Arabidopsis thaliana: one gene and its partner. The protein of the gene in region 1 interacts with the protein of each later gene in a pairwise test. Each region holds a gene or a part of one and is shown in the gene's direction. Other genes may lie near its edges.

Region 1 (8,312 bases):
TCGGCATTTTATCGAACAGGTTGTGTGCGCTTAGAAACTAATCCACAAAAACAAATAATTTCGTTCCCTAATCCAATCCTAGCAACAACAATAAGGCCCTTACATGTCCAAACCTAAATGAATTCTCAATTTATCGACGGCATCTCAATGAAGTAGCAGGATTTACCGTAAGTTTATCTGCAAAACCATGGTCAGAAACCCTTTTGCGTAGAATCTCCACCATACGCTTATCTAGCTCGACGGCTACGACATTCTGAGCAGCTTCAAGAAGTTTCATCGTGAGATTTCCAGTGCCAGGTCCGATCTCCAAGACTGTATCAGTCGGCCTGATATCGGAGCTTCGAACAATGGAGTCGAGGATTCTAGTGTTGGTAAGAAGGTGTTGGCCTTTGCTCTTGCACAGAAACAATCCATCGTGTTCCTTCTTCTCCTCGATTCTCACATCCCTCTCGTATCCTCTTCTCCGGCGGTCGTGATCGGGTTTTGTCCGAGCCTGCGAGTGAGAATCTCGTCGGAAAACTAAGGAAGATAAGTACGAACGAGTTGAATTGATTTTGATGAGCGTTTGGTCTTTCAATCGAAGAATCATCACTTTGCTTCAGTCACGAAATATAGCTCGGCGTCGTTATCATCCCACGAAATCGCCGGTGACAGGAATCCAAAGCGGAAACTTCCGAGCGTTTGAAGGAGATCCTTGTGGCCTTGTGGGCCAATTGTTTATATGCTTCTCAAATATTCCTTTAGCCCAAGGCCCAATTATTTTTTATTTCTTCACGACGCTTATCTTAATTCTTAATCATCCAATTGGCGTAGACTTTTACTTATATGTACATCCATAGATTGATTGATTGTAAAATAAAAGAAAAAGAACAAAAAATGATGGATATAGAATTTTGGACCACGCTAGTGGACTACGTACTCAAATGGTAACGTGAGAGCCATGAAGTCGTCTAATTATTTGGAAGAACATAAAGTTTGAAAATTCATATAATCTTGAAAAGAAAGCATGACGTTGCCAAGTTACTATTCTCGTCGGTGTAATTGCTATCTCTTTTCTACATGATCGGACGGTATATATGCTTCCTTTTGTCCCTTCCATCCAAATTTTGATTTATTGTGTAAACATATATATCTTTCAGTTGATTTTTTCATTATCATGACATCTGTCAACACTCTCTACTTTACATTATATCACCTCAGTCACACACCACTCTTTTCTTGATTAATTCCCTATGGTACTCATATGAAAATGTTAAAATTAAGCAAAATAAACACACACAAAAAACAAAATAATGTGTATTATCACATGAAAAAGCGTCACAATTCGATTCAGTTTCTTTTGGTGTTTTTATTTCTCCTATGATGGATACATGTGTTGAAAACTGTATCAGCTTCAGAAGAACATGCTATAAATATAAAGGCTAGCCTTATAATTTAGGGTTTGTAACTTCGGAATTAACAATAATAGAGTAATTAAGAAAATTAGGCGTGAAAAATAGTGGTCCACTTTTTTTACAGCAGCCTCTATACTATAACTTTGATACCACCCTTCGTTTCTAGTGTGGGGGATTTTCAATAACCCATGAGCACCCGATCTATCAACTTAGTTATATCTTGCCATTTTTCAACATACAACAGCAAAACTGTTTTGGTTGAGTTTTGCGAGTTTGTTATGTGATTCACGTTTGTTTTAGTGAAATTTTGGGTTAAAGTAAGTCGAGTGGATTATATAAGTAGATTTTGTCGCATCTAATAACTCAGTTGATATATCAGCTTAGAAAGACTATACGCGTCTCTGCATGTGCATGAGCATGAGCATGAGCATGGCATTTGGAGGAACCATGACTCCACTTCCTTGGGACCCACATGAACCAAATCACTCTCTATGTTTTTTCTTTCTTCCTTTATTCAATGATGCAATCTTCTCTTGAGCAATGAGAAACATATAATCATTAATATACATAAATGTAAAGGGGGCCTTTGAAGGTGAAATGGGATCCATATGGAACACATAGTTTATGAAATCTATTTCTGAAAACGGATATGTAGTATATAAAAAAGTGTACATTTCATTTAAGTTTTACCCAACTTTGCAGCTTCTCAAGAGATTTTGTGGTGAAAGACAGTCTTTGTTTATTATTTTGTGAAGAGATACAGAATACACATAAATTACTATTGAGTAAAGGAGGATGCAAGGGGGAAAAAAGTTGCAAGAATCTCTAAGCTCCGTTATTGGCTCCAAAGAAAAGAAACATAACCCACCAAATCTTTTATGTCCTTTTTCAGTTTCAAAGTTGAAGAGAAAAGGAGAGATTTAAAAGAGTGTAGAAGAGCAATGAATGGGTGAAAGTGAAAAAAACAAATCAGTGCGTGCTTCTTTTGTAGTAAACACTCTTCTCTTTCTGCCTATGTAAGAAAAATATATATTAAGAAGTGATTTTCTCTTTATTGGTAATAATGTGTAATTGTGTACAAGTGATATTTAGAAGCCAACAAACACTATGCTCCAAACTTACTTTTCTTTATTCTCTAGTTTATAAAGTTCTTTCCACATTTCCATGTTTTCTTATTGATAATGGGCATAACATACATTCTAAATCTCCAAAAGATGGTACCGGGGTCAAGTAGAATGGTAGATGACTAGATGCGTTTGAAGTGCAGATATTTGGCAGAAAAGGTAGTGGAAACAATTTCAACGTTTTTAGAAAAATTGCTAGGACATGAAATGGAAGGTTAAATAGTTAAGAAAATGTTAGTAACTTTACCTAAATTTGTATAAATTATGACACTGAAAACTTAAAGAAAAGAAGAACACAGTGCTCGAGAAGATACTTTAAACCTTTTCTTTTGGAAAAAAAAGACTATTCTATTTGTACTAATTTCAAGATTCAAACTCCAAAATAAAAGAAATTTAATAGTTTTGGCTCATGGTGAGTCTTTCATTATGCGAGTTTGTTGCTATTTGCAAAGATAATCGATGTTACCAATACATTTGGAATTTATGGATTTGTAATTTAGTTATATACAAGAATAAAATCCGAGAGAATGTCACTGTCCCTTTTGCCCACTCCCTCTCTTAATTTCTCGGTCCTAAATGATTGCATATATTCATCGAACTCTATCCCCAATTTTCTTCTCCTCTATTTCAGTCACTCATAATTTTTGCATTCAACAAAGTACAAACCCTCACATACATTAAGATTGTCATAACAAGAAAACCATTAAAACATCCAAATTGATTTCTGAAATTTACAGCTTCTAGATCAAATTTAAAGTTGTCTTTTATACTCTATTTCATAGATACACATTAACATTGTTTACAATACGGTGAAGAGGTTGGATAGATGATTTTGCTGATTGTTTATGTCAACAATAACTTTCATCCATTTCATAAATACATGTATTTTTTACAACCTCACTTTCATTAAATGTATTCTCTCTTTTACACAACAGTGGGTATTTCCACTAGGAAATGACTATAGTGCCCCTCTTCTTATTAGTCAACTCTCCATATCCTTTTGGAAAAATCCATGAACTATCTTCAGTTTTTTACTTTGTCTGTAGTTTGATATTCTGAAACAACTGAAATTCGTTAAAATTTGGAATGATTAATTGGTCAATTAAATTAAGATTCATGGGGTATAGGTATACGGGACAATTGATATACATCAGTGTATGTATTGTATACATAATTAAATATTTTAATACTATCAGGTGTTCATTATTAAAGTTTGTATATATAATGATAAAAATAACAGAGTAGTAATTTGCTTCCTTGGAAACATGGATAAGCAACTGTTTTCCAGCTGCGAACTTTAGGCACTTAATTTTAAAGTCACAGGTATACACTACGCAACCAAAGCAAGATTTCGCTAATAATAATTAAAATTGCATCGAATCTAACTAAAGAATCTAAAAATACAAGTATACCCAGTCCCCAACGTTGTGTAGGACGATATATGATTATAAAGTTTTAGTTTAGATATTACATAACTATAGATTTCTCATAAATAAAGAAATCTTCCGTTCATTTCACTAAAATATCGTTCGAACAAATAATACACAGATTAATATCTAAACGTAAATCATATAAACAAATAGTGTAGGATTTAATTATAGTAGCATTTTGGCAAACACAAACAGACAAACAAAGGAAGAGGCAGCGTGTTTTCCGGTAGAGAAAAGACGGAGAGAGTAAAAGCCGAAGTTGTAAACGTGGCAACATATTGACCGCAGGATCTAAAACACGTGATGATCAACGGTAAGATATATCTTGTCCGAGAAGTGTTTTGTGATATTAATTGGTGTAAGGAAAATCTGGAAAACAAACAAAAAAGAAAAGAGAGACAGAGAATTTAATAAGAGAGGAAGAGTATTAAGGTGATGGCGGCGTTGCAGAGCGCGAGACAGAGAAAGAAACCTCTCTGAGATACATCTCTCTCTCTCTCTCTATCCCCTCTTAAATACACTCCATACCGACAAACCAACTTTTTTCTCAGTACTAAAAGAAACCTCTATTCGATTTCTAAACAAACCCTAGATATAGACTACTCTACATTCTTCCATTAAGTTAATCTCTTTCGTCTTCTTCTTCTTCATCCTCTCATAATTAAAGATCTCTATCAAGAGAGAGATCTTTTATTGTCTTCTTCTGTTAAAATCTTTTGATAGATCTTCACTCTCTGAAAGTCAAGATCTTAGTCTAGGCAAGTAAATATGTGGTAAAGCAAAGCCCTTCTTGAAATTGGTCATATATGGCTGGTGGTATCGGAAAATGGCAGGATTTTTCTCGTTAGGACACGGCGGAGGAGGAAACACTCCAGACAACCACAGAACAAACACTAATAATCCTTCTTCATCGGGAACAGAATCTTGGCTTTGGTGCAGAAACCCTAACTCTAACGCTGACGGTGGAGAAGCTGGTCCTTCTTACAAAGGAACCCTTGAGCTATGGCAACACCCAAACAATCAAGAAATCATTTTCCAGCAGCAGCAGCAACAGCAACAAAGGCTGGATCTTTACACTTCCGCTGCGGGTTTAGGTGTTGGACCGAGCAACCGGAGCTTAATTGAAACTTCCGGCGGTGCGTTGATGATGATGAGAAGCGGTAGCGGTAGCGGCGGACCAAGCTGCCAGGATTGTGGGAATCAATCTAAGAAAGACTGCTCTCACATGAGATGTAGGACTTGCTGCAAGAGCCGTGGCCTTGACTGTCCCACTCACGTGAAGAGCACGTGGGTTCCTGCCGCTAAACGCCGAGAACGCCAGCAGCAGCTTTCTACCGGTCAGCAACCGCAGCAACTGGGAGGGAGCGTCCCTAAACGACAGAGAGAGCGTATCCCGGCGAGATCGACTTCCATGGCCTACACTCGTATACCTTCTAACAACACTTCAGGTATTTCATAATATCTCTTTATGGTTATTCACCCCTGAATGAAAATTAAAGTAATGAGCTTTGAATAACTTGAGTTATTAGTTTCAATTGCAGAAACAGAAACCCTATTTTGATCAGCTTTTTTTGTTCTTCTTTTTTCATTTTCAAGAAAAAAAAAAGGTGAACGATTTTCTTCTTCCTATTTTTTTTTTTTAATATGGAAATACTGTAGATCAGTAAGACTGACTCTTGGAATGACAGGAAGAAACTGTTCTCACTGATCTTGATATTTGTGTTTATATCCTGTAATTATTAAGTTTTTGTTTATTTGTTTGTTAATGCTGTAATTATTAATTTGAGTTAAGATAAAAACAAACAAACAAATCATACGTTGAAAATACTCCTACGATTTTTTCTTATAATTAACAATAATTAATTAAATGTTTTCTATCTAGGGTTGGAGGTTGGGAATTTTCCGCCGGAAGTTAGCTCGTCGGCAGTTTTTCGGTGCGTGCGTGTGAGTTCCGTAGATGATGAAGAAGAAGAGTATGCATATAAAACAGCTGTGAGTATAGGCGGTCACGTCTTCAAAGGTGTTCTCTACGATCAAGGCCCGGCCGAGAGAAGCTCCTCGGGCGGTGGATCTCAGCCGTTGAATCTCATAACCGCAGGCCCATCGGCCTCATCATCAAGCCCAAACGTGAGCTGCAACAATGGAGTCGTTGGCTCCACTTCAGATCATTATATCGATCCTGCCTCACTTAATTATCCTACTCCCATTAACACTTTCATGACTGGTACGCACTTCTTCTCCAACTCAAGATCTTGAATTCCACACAGAGAGAGTACAACAAATCATAACTTTTTTTTAGATTCTTACGGTAGAATTAGGGTTTTAAAACATCTTCGGAGGTGAAGATTATAACGTACTAATCTTGGTTTTCAAAAGTAATTAACTAAGGGAGATAATGTTCTATTAAAACAATTGTTACCTGATCTTTTATTATTAAGTTCAAATTTTGTAGGTATAATGTTAATGTAATAGTATACTCCAATTTTCAACTGTTACAAAAGTCAACGACCCTGTCTCTGTGAAAGCTCACATCAAAAGCAAGATTTGCAGCTGGCAGTTTTCAACTGTGATCGTTAAACTCAGCCTTGTTTTATTGTCAGCTTTTCACATTACTCTTTTTTTAGGTTTACTTTAACATTAATTTACCTTTCAAATTACTACTTTAGGTCAATTAATTGCAATTATGATTTGCCTGTAGAAATATTAATGTGAAAAACAAGGTTACAAAATTGAAATTTGGGTGAAGACATGTATTTAGGTGTCTTGTGCTTTTGGTCAACAAATCAGACACACTAGCACAGGTATATCGTTCGTCTACGACTACTATATATCCGGCAATATGCCATACCCTAATCTTAAGTTTTATTCAGTTTGAGCCGTTTTTAAAGTGATGCTCTCATTCCTATGATTGATATAATGTCAGTACACTTACATTTGAAGAGAGACTTACTGCCACATCCGACTCTTTACATTATTTTTTATATATATATATCCTGATAGCCAGTTTCTCCATATTTCTATCTTACATAGTTTTCACATCGTACGTTACGGTGTATTTTTTAGCCACATCTGAAGGGGCTTTACTATACAAATCTCAAATGCAATCCCCAAAATCTGACAAGCAGTGAGACTGTATGTGTATTTTGATTCTTTTGTTACAACGAGTGAGGCTGTAAATTCGGCAGATTATGAGTGAGTGGGGGAACAGAAAAAGGTGTAAAATTGGTATGCATCTTTATTTCTGCAGGTGTTTATGTTTGGACCTAAAAAAACTCTTCTTTCCCAATTCATTTCTTAGGCTCTCTTTTTCATTATTCAATTTACGTCACCTCAAGAAAGCCATGATGATAACGAGATGCAAAAAGAATCGGAAAACGAGCTAACATTATAATAACTCATTAGGATTAAAATTTAATTAAGTGTTGCATGGAGTTGTGAAGACTTGTAAAAAAGATGCACACAAATCATGCATTTTGTGATTTACATTTATATCATTCTATAATTGAATTGGTCCCATTAAACCTTAAACAGCTAATCCCACCTTGCTTATGCTGATTTGTCCCCGATTATTTCCTCCGTACTACTCGCACCATGTCTTCGAAATTTCTCTTTTGGAAAACCTAAGTTGCTTTTTATTTTCTTGGTCAAGCAAGACTCAAGAGTTTGATGTTGTTGCACGTAGAAAGGATCTTGAAGACGGATGTCGGATGGTGATAAAAGCAGCAACTTTAAACTCCGAACGCAAGTGGGGCCTTAGGAAATTTCACTGTGAACCAATAAGAGAGTAACACGTCTGAGGGACAATTTGCAATTCCATCATTGCATTTCAAGGGGACAAAACAGAAGCCTCAGGTCCACAGCATCAAGCTTTCCAAACCGAATTTTTAATTTGAGTGTCGCAGGCTCGCTGCATAAAGAGAAGACGACACTGTAGTCCTCAGTGACCAAATAATGAAGTAGCCCAAAACTAAGCCATGCTGTTGCTGGGTAAAACAAAACTACTAAGCCCTAGAGGTATGGGCCTCTGTTTTTCTCTCTCCATGAGACTCACGAGCAAATCACATAACTAACTTTGGATACATTCGACTCTGTTCCTGATCCACTCTTCTCTCCCCTGTTTGTCTTTCTCCATTATCTCTTCTTCCGGAGACTGGAAAGATGGCATTGGGCAACAAACGCACTTCGTCGACGATTTCAATAGTAATCTGGATAAGCATAAATCACAGCTTAGAGGAAAATAGAAGGTCAGAGAAGAGAGTATCGTGATCGATGTAAGCACTAGTTTCTGCTTTGTAATTGTGCATCTTTCTAACTATTATAGGGATGGTCTTTGAGTTCAAGATTAACAAAGAAACAGTGAGACA
Region 2 (8,312 bases), on another chromosome or scaffold:
ATGTTACATCGTCAGGGAAAAGAACATCAATTTCTAAGTAAACTCGTAAAATTAAGGTTGAAATGCAGACATTGATAATGTAGGATTGGAAATATATTTTTTCAAAAAATAAGCAATTTATAATCATTTCATATATATATGAGAAGCTGAGCAATAAGAAAAAAAGACGTGAGAAAGACCATTAAAATAATCAACTGGATAAAACTATTCAGTTATTAGATGACTGATATGAATAATAAGTTCTTCGTAAATGTGGAGTTCTAATAGTAGAAATTAAGTGAAGTATATGACTTTGTTGCCCAAAAAAATGAAAAAAAAAACTAGTATATATATATGACTTTTATCCTCTTACATTTCGCACCATATAGTGGCTTCAAGTATTTTCCTTTTTCTGAAGTTTTTCCCACCAAGCTAAAACATCATTTTCTGAAGTTACAATATTGAATAAGGTATAATTTGAAGACAACAACGGTCGTATAGCTACTTACACTTGGATATATGCATATATGTTTCTAATAAAACTTAGGCATTCTGTGTTTTCAATTGCTATTATATTTATATGATCAATATGAAGATGTGTTCATTTACTTTTATATATATAAACAATAATATGAAAATGTGGTGTTGTCAAATCTCCTTAACTTAAGCGTGAAAGTAGAAACATAGGCTATCTCTATCCCTAAACCTCAAAGAAGCTCTACATCAACTTGTTACTCATCCCATTAAGCTTGTCGCGATAATTTGTTCGATTCGCTAAGAAATAATATTTGATATAGAACCATTTCTCTTCATTCCTGTAAACGAAAGTGAGATAACCAACTTAAAATTTATGATGTATTTTACAAAAGGCGATTGTAATTGAATTATTAATAAAATCGTTTGAACCGAGATAGTATGTTTAGACTAACGTTTTAATAAACGTTTCAAGCTGTTTAAAAAAAAAATTAGAGGATGATTTTCATAATTCTATTTCAGACTTATTAGTTGAAATTTTGTGACTAATTGAAAAAAAAAATTGGTGACGCTTTATTCAGAAATTTTGTGGCGACATTTGAATTTCTAGTATACCTACACAAATTTGTAAAGTAGCAATCTTTTCTTTTCTTAGAGAATTATTATTTAATTTCGTTGTCGTCCAAACAAGAAAATTCTAGATTCGTTTTTTGTGATCTCGAGAATTTTAGGAAAAAAAAACTTTTTTTTTTGGGGGCAAATGAAAAAAAATAACTAAAATGAAGAATATGAAAAGGAAGAAAAGTCAATATTGAGTATGCCTGTGAAATTAAAAAAGTGGAGACAAACACATAATTTTCCAGACACATTTCCATGAAAGGAAATTGCGCGAATGAATGGTAATCTAAAAGAGCATTGACTCTCTTTGCTATATATAGAAAATGATTCATTATCAACCTAAGAACCACACAAATACCAAAAGAAAAAAAAAGTTGACAACCCATTATACAAAGTAAAAATAAATTTTGTACTTTGAGAATGATGATAATGAGTGACTGAGATTTGTAACCAACAACTTTGGCAATAGATAGATAATATAACACATAATGAAAGCACTCAGGGCATCAATGCCAAACTTTTGTAAGGAAAAAAAAAAAGATTGAAAGACTAACCAAAGATTGAAACTTAAATTTTGATTCTCACTAATAAACAACTTAAAATTGTTATTAAAAGAAACAAACTCAAAATTGGTGATATGATATATGTTGTTGTCTTCTTCATGGGTTATTAGAAAGAAGAACTGAAAGCAACCTTAGAAGAAGCCAGCGAGTCCAACCATTATAGTCATGTGGTCCTCCTGATAATTGCAGGCCTAGAGATAGAGAGAGAGGGAAGAGAGATAAAGAAGAAAGAGCATGGGATGTGGTGGATAATTAGGCGGAGAAGGCGGCATGTATAAATGGAAAGAGTGGATAACAATGGATGACCAAAATAGGAGTTTTTATTTACAATGATAGTGTTTCATCTTTGCACGTAACTCCTAAGTTTGTACTTTACCTACGTGCATGTATATAGATGTGGATTAGTGACTTTTATCTCTTGTTAGTTATTTCTAAAAACATGCATCACATCACTTAACACAGCTGACAAGGTCAACATAACTACCTAATTAATAAACTCTTAACGACCGTTAACCGTATTAACTTCTAACTTCTAATATTGCTTTTAAGCGAAGAGATATTTCTAAAATATGTTTTTTTCACAAAAATACAAGGGAAAATAATGATACAAAAGCTTACAAGATAAGCACGAGAGAGAAAAGAGGTTCTCTTTTTAGCGAAAGCGACTTCTAAGTTATAACATAAGTATGAGAGAGTGTGTGTGTGAGAGAGAGAGTCAAAAGAAAATAAAAGATTGGTCGGTCATGCAATACTGAACAGAGAGGCAAAGCTTTTTTCTTTTCTTCCTAAAATTATTGCAGCCTTCTTTTCTTAGGGCTTCACACAGCCACGTGCATTCCTCCAATTTGAAAATGAAACTTTGTATTTTAACTCTCCTATAGCAAAAAGATTATTTTCTCCATATCATGAAAATCAATGTCTTAGAGCTAGGAAGAAGGATTTTGTGATATGAGACCAAAAATTCCAATCCGAGTTTTGATCTTGTTTTCAAGTTTTGTATCACAAATATGAAAACAAAGAGATGTTTTTTGTTTCTTTACATAAAAAAAAAGAAGAGAAATTCTTTTTTTTTTTTTTGGTAAAAGAAGAGAAGAGAAATTCGTCCAATGCGTTCGTCAGTTTTGCTATTTGAACTCAATTGGATTCCAATAAGTCTACGTAAGAAAAAGGAGCTACCCTTTTTTACTAATAATTTACAGAAGAGGATGTTGCATAACAATCAATTTAGAACAATCATCTATGTCTATACTTAATTTTGAGAAACATCCATGATGGATATAAATTGTTATAACAGTGTTTAAATTTATTTGATATTCTCAATAATATATATATATATATATATATTATAATATAAGAATTCATATTTTATACTTTAAAATACAATTAATAATATTTTACAACAATAAATAAATGTATTTAAACCTAAAAGTTGGCACAAGAAAATGGAATTAAAAAATATTACTGATCTGTATGGTTTTCTTGAGGGATCGCCATGATTGATGATTCAGTTTTTACAACCCATTCAGTTCGATAGATTATCTAATATAAGATTTTTTTGTCAAATATTTTTTTTGATCTAGTATAAGTTTTTTATTTATGAAACAACAAATAAAAGATTTGGACTTAAGAATGGATAGAAGTTTTGGAATAACAATATTTGTGTCCTATGTATAAAAATTATTAGATAGAGATACAAAAATTGTTATCTGAACAAATGCAATATATCAATAGTTAGTGTACATATGAAGTCATAAGAATTACACCAAAATACTCTTTAAAAATATGAAAAAGTTGTTTATAGTGTTTTGAAAAATACCACCAAACAAAACTTTATAATTTTATTTGACCTTAGTTCTTTCTTACGGTGAAATGCAAATCAATATTTTATATATATTTTAATTATATATTCCTTGTTCCTATTTCCTTTAGACATAATCTAAAATCTTCTAACTTTTCTTCTATTAATCCTTTTCCAAATAAAGGCATAACTAATAATAAAATTTATCCTTAATTTTATCTCATATTTATTTCTATTCAACTTTTTATTTTGATCTTCTTAATATGCAAACATACATTTATATGTCTATTTTTGGGTGAAATTAAATCTCATTACCTTTTATTTCTTTCATTTAGTTATACCTTGATCTTTATCTACTAAAAATATTAAAAAATATAATCAATGTGGAAAAATCTATCTAACTAAATTTTAAATGTCATTTCAATAATTTAAATAAAGATCTGTTTATTTAAAGTGAAATGTTAATGTAATTGGTAAATATATGTTCTGTCAAGAAACTGTAATATTAATTATTCTAGCTAAATCCTAAAGTTATAACATATATTCTATAGTAAATACAGTGAAATATTTTATATTGAATTAACTATTTTTAGGCATCTTTTAGTGCATGCTATTAATTTTAAAGATATATACAATCTTTGATTAGTTGAAATATAGCTGTCAACAATTTAATATCTATCAAATAATTATACTGAGTTCTTATCTACATATTAGTAATGAACTATCTCAAAGAAATATAAGAACATAAACAAACACAAGGTCCTAATTATAGAAAAAAATCTTGATAATCAAATAAAACGAACATCTATTATCACATTTTCACAAAAAACAAAAACGAATATATTTTTATCATGCCGAAGCTAGGAATTAAGAAAAATATATAAACAAAATAAATGCTTTTTCAAAGGCTTATATGTTGTTCCTTCCCCCATAATGATCTCTTTGCCTCTCTCTCCATATAGCTCTCCCTCTCTCTCTCTTTTTCTCTCTCTTTCTCTCCATTCTAGTTCATAGCACATAGACTCATTTAAGTACGTCGCCTGTGTTGTCTTTCTCAACCATTAGTCCTTTGCTTCGATAAAGGTATTCTCTCTCTACACATTTAGACACACACATAGATTCTCTAGAACAAAGACATATTGTACTATCTGACTAATCACTATTACTGCTCTTTTTTTTTCTTGATTTTGCAGGCTAAGGAAAAAAAGAAATCTCTCTTTCTAATTTTCTTGTTTTCATTTTGGTTGAGACTTGAGATCAATGTCTTCGTCATTGGAACAGTAACCTTTCTCTTTGATTCAAACTTTCTTTCATTTTCTTCTCTTTTTTCTTGTGTGTCTGAAGAAGATTATAGTACAAGTGTCATTCTCAAAATTTTGTCTTAGGGTTTTTTAATTTTGTTACTTCAAAAACCCCTAAAAAGGCATGAACAACAACATTTTCAGTACTACTACCACCATCAATGACGACTACATGTTATTCCCTTATAATGACCATTATTCCTCACAACCATTGCTCCCTTTTAGCCCTTCTTCTTCCATTAACGACATCTTGATTCACTCCACCTCTAACACATCAAACAATCATCTTGACCATCATCATCAATTCCAACAACCTTCTCCTTTTTCTCACTTCGAATTTGCCCCGGACTGCGCCCTCCTCACCTCTTTCCACCCAGAAAACAATGGCCATGATGATAACCAAACCATCCCAAACGACAATCATCATCCATCACTTCACTTTCCCTTGAACAACACCATTGTAGAACAACCCACTGAGCCCTCGGAAACTATAAACCTTATAGAAGATTCCCAGAGAATCTCAACTTCTCAAGACCCAAAAATGAAAAAAGCCAAGAAACCCAGCAGAACGGACAGGCACAGCAAGATCAAAACGGCCAAAGGGACACGAGATCGTAGGATGAGACTCTCGCTAGATGTCGCCAAAGAGTTGTTTGGCTTACAAGACATGCTTGGATTTGACAAAGCCAGCAAAACCGTTGAATGGTTGCTTACACAAGCAAAACCTGAGATCATAAAGATCGCGACAACCCTTTCTCACCATGGCTGCTTCAGCAGCGGCGATGAGTCTCATATCCGTAAGTATCCATTCTTTTCTAGTTTTAAGTCTATTCAAGTTTTCAACTTCTATGAATTTTTTTATATCATAATCTGAAAATTGTAAATTTCCTAATTAATTAAGGACCGGTGTTAGGATCCATGGACACATCTTCTGATCTATGTGAACTTGCATCCATGTGGACGGTCGACGATAGAGGCAGCAATACTAACACGACCGGTACGACCTTAACCGTTGCCTTTCTGATTTACAATTATATATAGAGTACTTTCTATCAAAATGTTACAAAAGATAAATTATCTTATACATTAGAAACAAGAGGAAACAAGGTCGATGGGAGATCGATGAGAGGGAAGAGAAAGAGGCCAGAACCGCGAACGCCCATTTTAAAGAAGTTGTCCAAGGAGGAGAGAGCGAAAGCTAGAGAAAGAGCAAAGGGTAGAACAATGGAGAAAATGATGATGAAGATGAAAGGAAGATCACAATTAGTGAAAGTTGTGGAAGAAGACGCTCATGATCATGGTGAGATAATAAAGAATAATAATAGAAGCCAAGTGAATCGGAGTTCTTTTGAGATGACACACTGCGAAGACAAGATCGAAGAACTTTGCAAGAACGATCGTTTTGCAGTTTGCAACGAATTTATCATGAATAAGAAAGATCACATTTCAAATGAATCTTATGACTTAGTCAACTACAAACCGAACTCATCATTCCCAGTGATTAACCACCATCGCAGCCAAGGAGCAGCTAATTCCATTGAGGTACCTTATTTATATCTACGAGTCACATTTATAATTTTTATGAGTTTTTTTCCAATGGTTTTATCTAAAGCTATACACAGTTAATTCAAGTTTTAGAGGTAGGGTATATCAAATTCAATGACACTAATGCACCACCATCGATTAATTAATGCTATATATAGTTTAATTAGAAGTTAGTTTTTGTGTTTTGTGGATTGGTACTTGGTTATTACTATCTAGTTCCACATCAGCGATTCAAAGGCGCCGGTTTTTTTTAACTGACTTGGTTATACTATTATGGTTTTTATTGTTCAAATTTTCATCGATTTTTTTTTTTTTGGGGCTATGTACCTTGCAGCAGCATCAGTTTACGGATCTTCATTACTCCTTCGGCGCGAAACCAAGAGACCTCATGCACAACTATCAAAACATGTATTGAAACTGATTTCATTTAACATTAATATCTCAAATTAATGATATATAGTTTGGTGAGAGAGATATGTTAATCCATCTTATGTTTTTTTTTCTTAACATCGTAATTAATCATGTTTATATGAAGGCTTTTTCGTCATTTTAGTGTCAAATATTAAACCTATGTGAAGAAATTAATGCAATTTGTATAATATTTTGTTTTCATAGTTCGAGTGGATTTTTAACTGATATGTATCCTTTAAACGTTGTTTGTTAATATTATCTCTGTGTTGTTAAGTTTGTCTATCGTTTGCTTTTAGGAATACAACAAATGACAAAAACAAAAGGAAACGTGACAAACTGATGACAAAATTATATAAGTTAAGATTCATGATTCAATACATTCTCAATCTATATTCCTTCTGAGACCTGGACGTCAGTTCTAGTAATCAGGCAATTCAAAACCTTTCAAGCCTATTAAGTTAAATGCGATCGACAAACGTATCGGGTATCACTAGGCTTGTGATCTATGTATAAGTGGGTTAACGTACATTGTATACAGACAAGTTCATATATGCGTAATTTGTGTAATATATTACGTGGAAACTTTATCATTTTCAAATATATTTTTTATAACTGATGTGAAGCTATTTGCTTTTTCCCTTAACCAATGATAAGTTCTGCTCTAATAAATCGAAATGTCTTGGGAGTAGTAAGTTACTTCTCTATTGTGATAAGTTTGAGTTACTTAATTTGGAGAGTTTGGTTTACTCAGTTTGGTATATCATGTTCCCTAACTAGAGTTTCCATGATAAATATTAATTATTATAAACAAATTAAAATTATATACAGTACTTCTAGATAGATCCTACAAGGGGTTAAAAGTTATGAAACCTGATGATATGTTGCACTAATTAAGCTGTTGGTCTTTGTAGTTTGTATTCCACATTTATGCTATAATAGGTTGCTATCAAACCTTGGGTGGTCGTTGTTGTTGTAGACCGGCGTGGGAAAATGTCAAATCATCCAAAATTACACAACTGTGAGCTTCAGACCACACATGCCGGTATATTCTACCCTTGAAATATACATAAATATATGTGTACATATATATATATATATATATATATATATTATGTTAAAGTTAATTTGCATAAAGAGAAATTTAAAAAGGTTTTGTGAATATAAGACATTAATTTTTTTTAAGCATTAAGCCATTTTCCAATTAAAATAATAGTTGTGTCTTTATGATTTTTATGAAAAAAACTTTTTTCTATGATAAATTTACAAAATGCATATTTTCACAGTTCTCTTATGAAACCTCTTTTTTGTGAAAATCTCATTATGTTTGTTTTCCTATATTAGCTACCTTGGTTCCCAACTTTTTCTTTGGTCTATGATTTGGCGTTTGCTCCTAAGAACGCACACATGCGTCCATATCACTAGAAAAAAAAAAACTAGAAAAAAAAAACTACTAAAATATCTAGTAAAATTCATCTACAGCCTCATAAAGTTTCGTTATTTATCAGAATTAAAATTTTATATAGGCATCTGATACTAAGACATTGACTGTAATATATATATATACTAATATCAGATGTGGAAACTTGATACATAAGAGCTATTATGGAACTTTTTTGGTTATCA

Evidence for each region.
Region 2: the proteins of SHI (region 1) and BRC1 interact in a two-hybrid assay, tested with the Arabidopsis thaliana proteins (one large-scale study listed by BioGRID).

Annotation. Positions count from the first base shown.
Region 1 is NC_003076.8:26,502,606-26,510,917, reverse strand, and holds SHI (Lateral root primordium (LRP) protein-like protein), read left to right. Parts: upstream 1-4,108; 5' UTR 4,109-4,774; coding exon 4,775-5,396; intron 5,397-5,830; coding exon 5,831-6,172; coding exon of another isoform or gene 6,173-6,204; exon of another isoform or gene 6,205-6,400; coding exon of another isoform or gene 6,401-6,417; exon of another isoform or gene 6,418-6,977; intron 6,978-7,579; exon of another isoform or gene 7,580-7,630; coding exon 7,631-7,662; 3' UTR 7,663-7,764; downstream 7,765-8,312. Other genes in the region: DIM1B (Ribosomal RNA adenine dimethylase family protein), read right to left, coding at 167-589; AT5G66340 (uncharacterized protein), read right to left, coding at 7,765-7,876, 8,020-8,153. UniProt on the Arabidopsis thaliana protein: Transcription activator that binds DNA on 5'-ACTCTAC-3' and promotes auxin homeostasis-regulating gene expression (e.g. YUC genes), as well as genes affecting stamen development, cell expansion and timing of flowering.
Region 2 is NC_003074.8:6,378,912-6,387,223, forward strand, and holds BRC1 (TCP family transcription factor), read left to right. Parts: upstream 1-4,377; 5' UTR 4,378-4,515; intron 4,516-4,596; exon of another isoform or gene 4,597-4,625; 5' UTR 4,626-4,857; coding exon 4,858-5,530; intron 5,531-5,634; coding exon 5,635-5,730; intron 5,731-5,823; coding exon 5,824-6,359; 3' UTR 6,360-6,612; coding exon of another isoform or gene 6,613-6,693; 3' UTR 6,694-6,904; downstream 6,905-8,312. UniProt on the Arabidopsis thaliana protein: Transcription factor that prevents axillary bud outgrowth and delays early axillary bud development. Indirectly required for the auxin-induced control of apical dominance.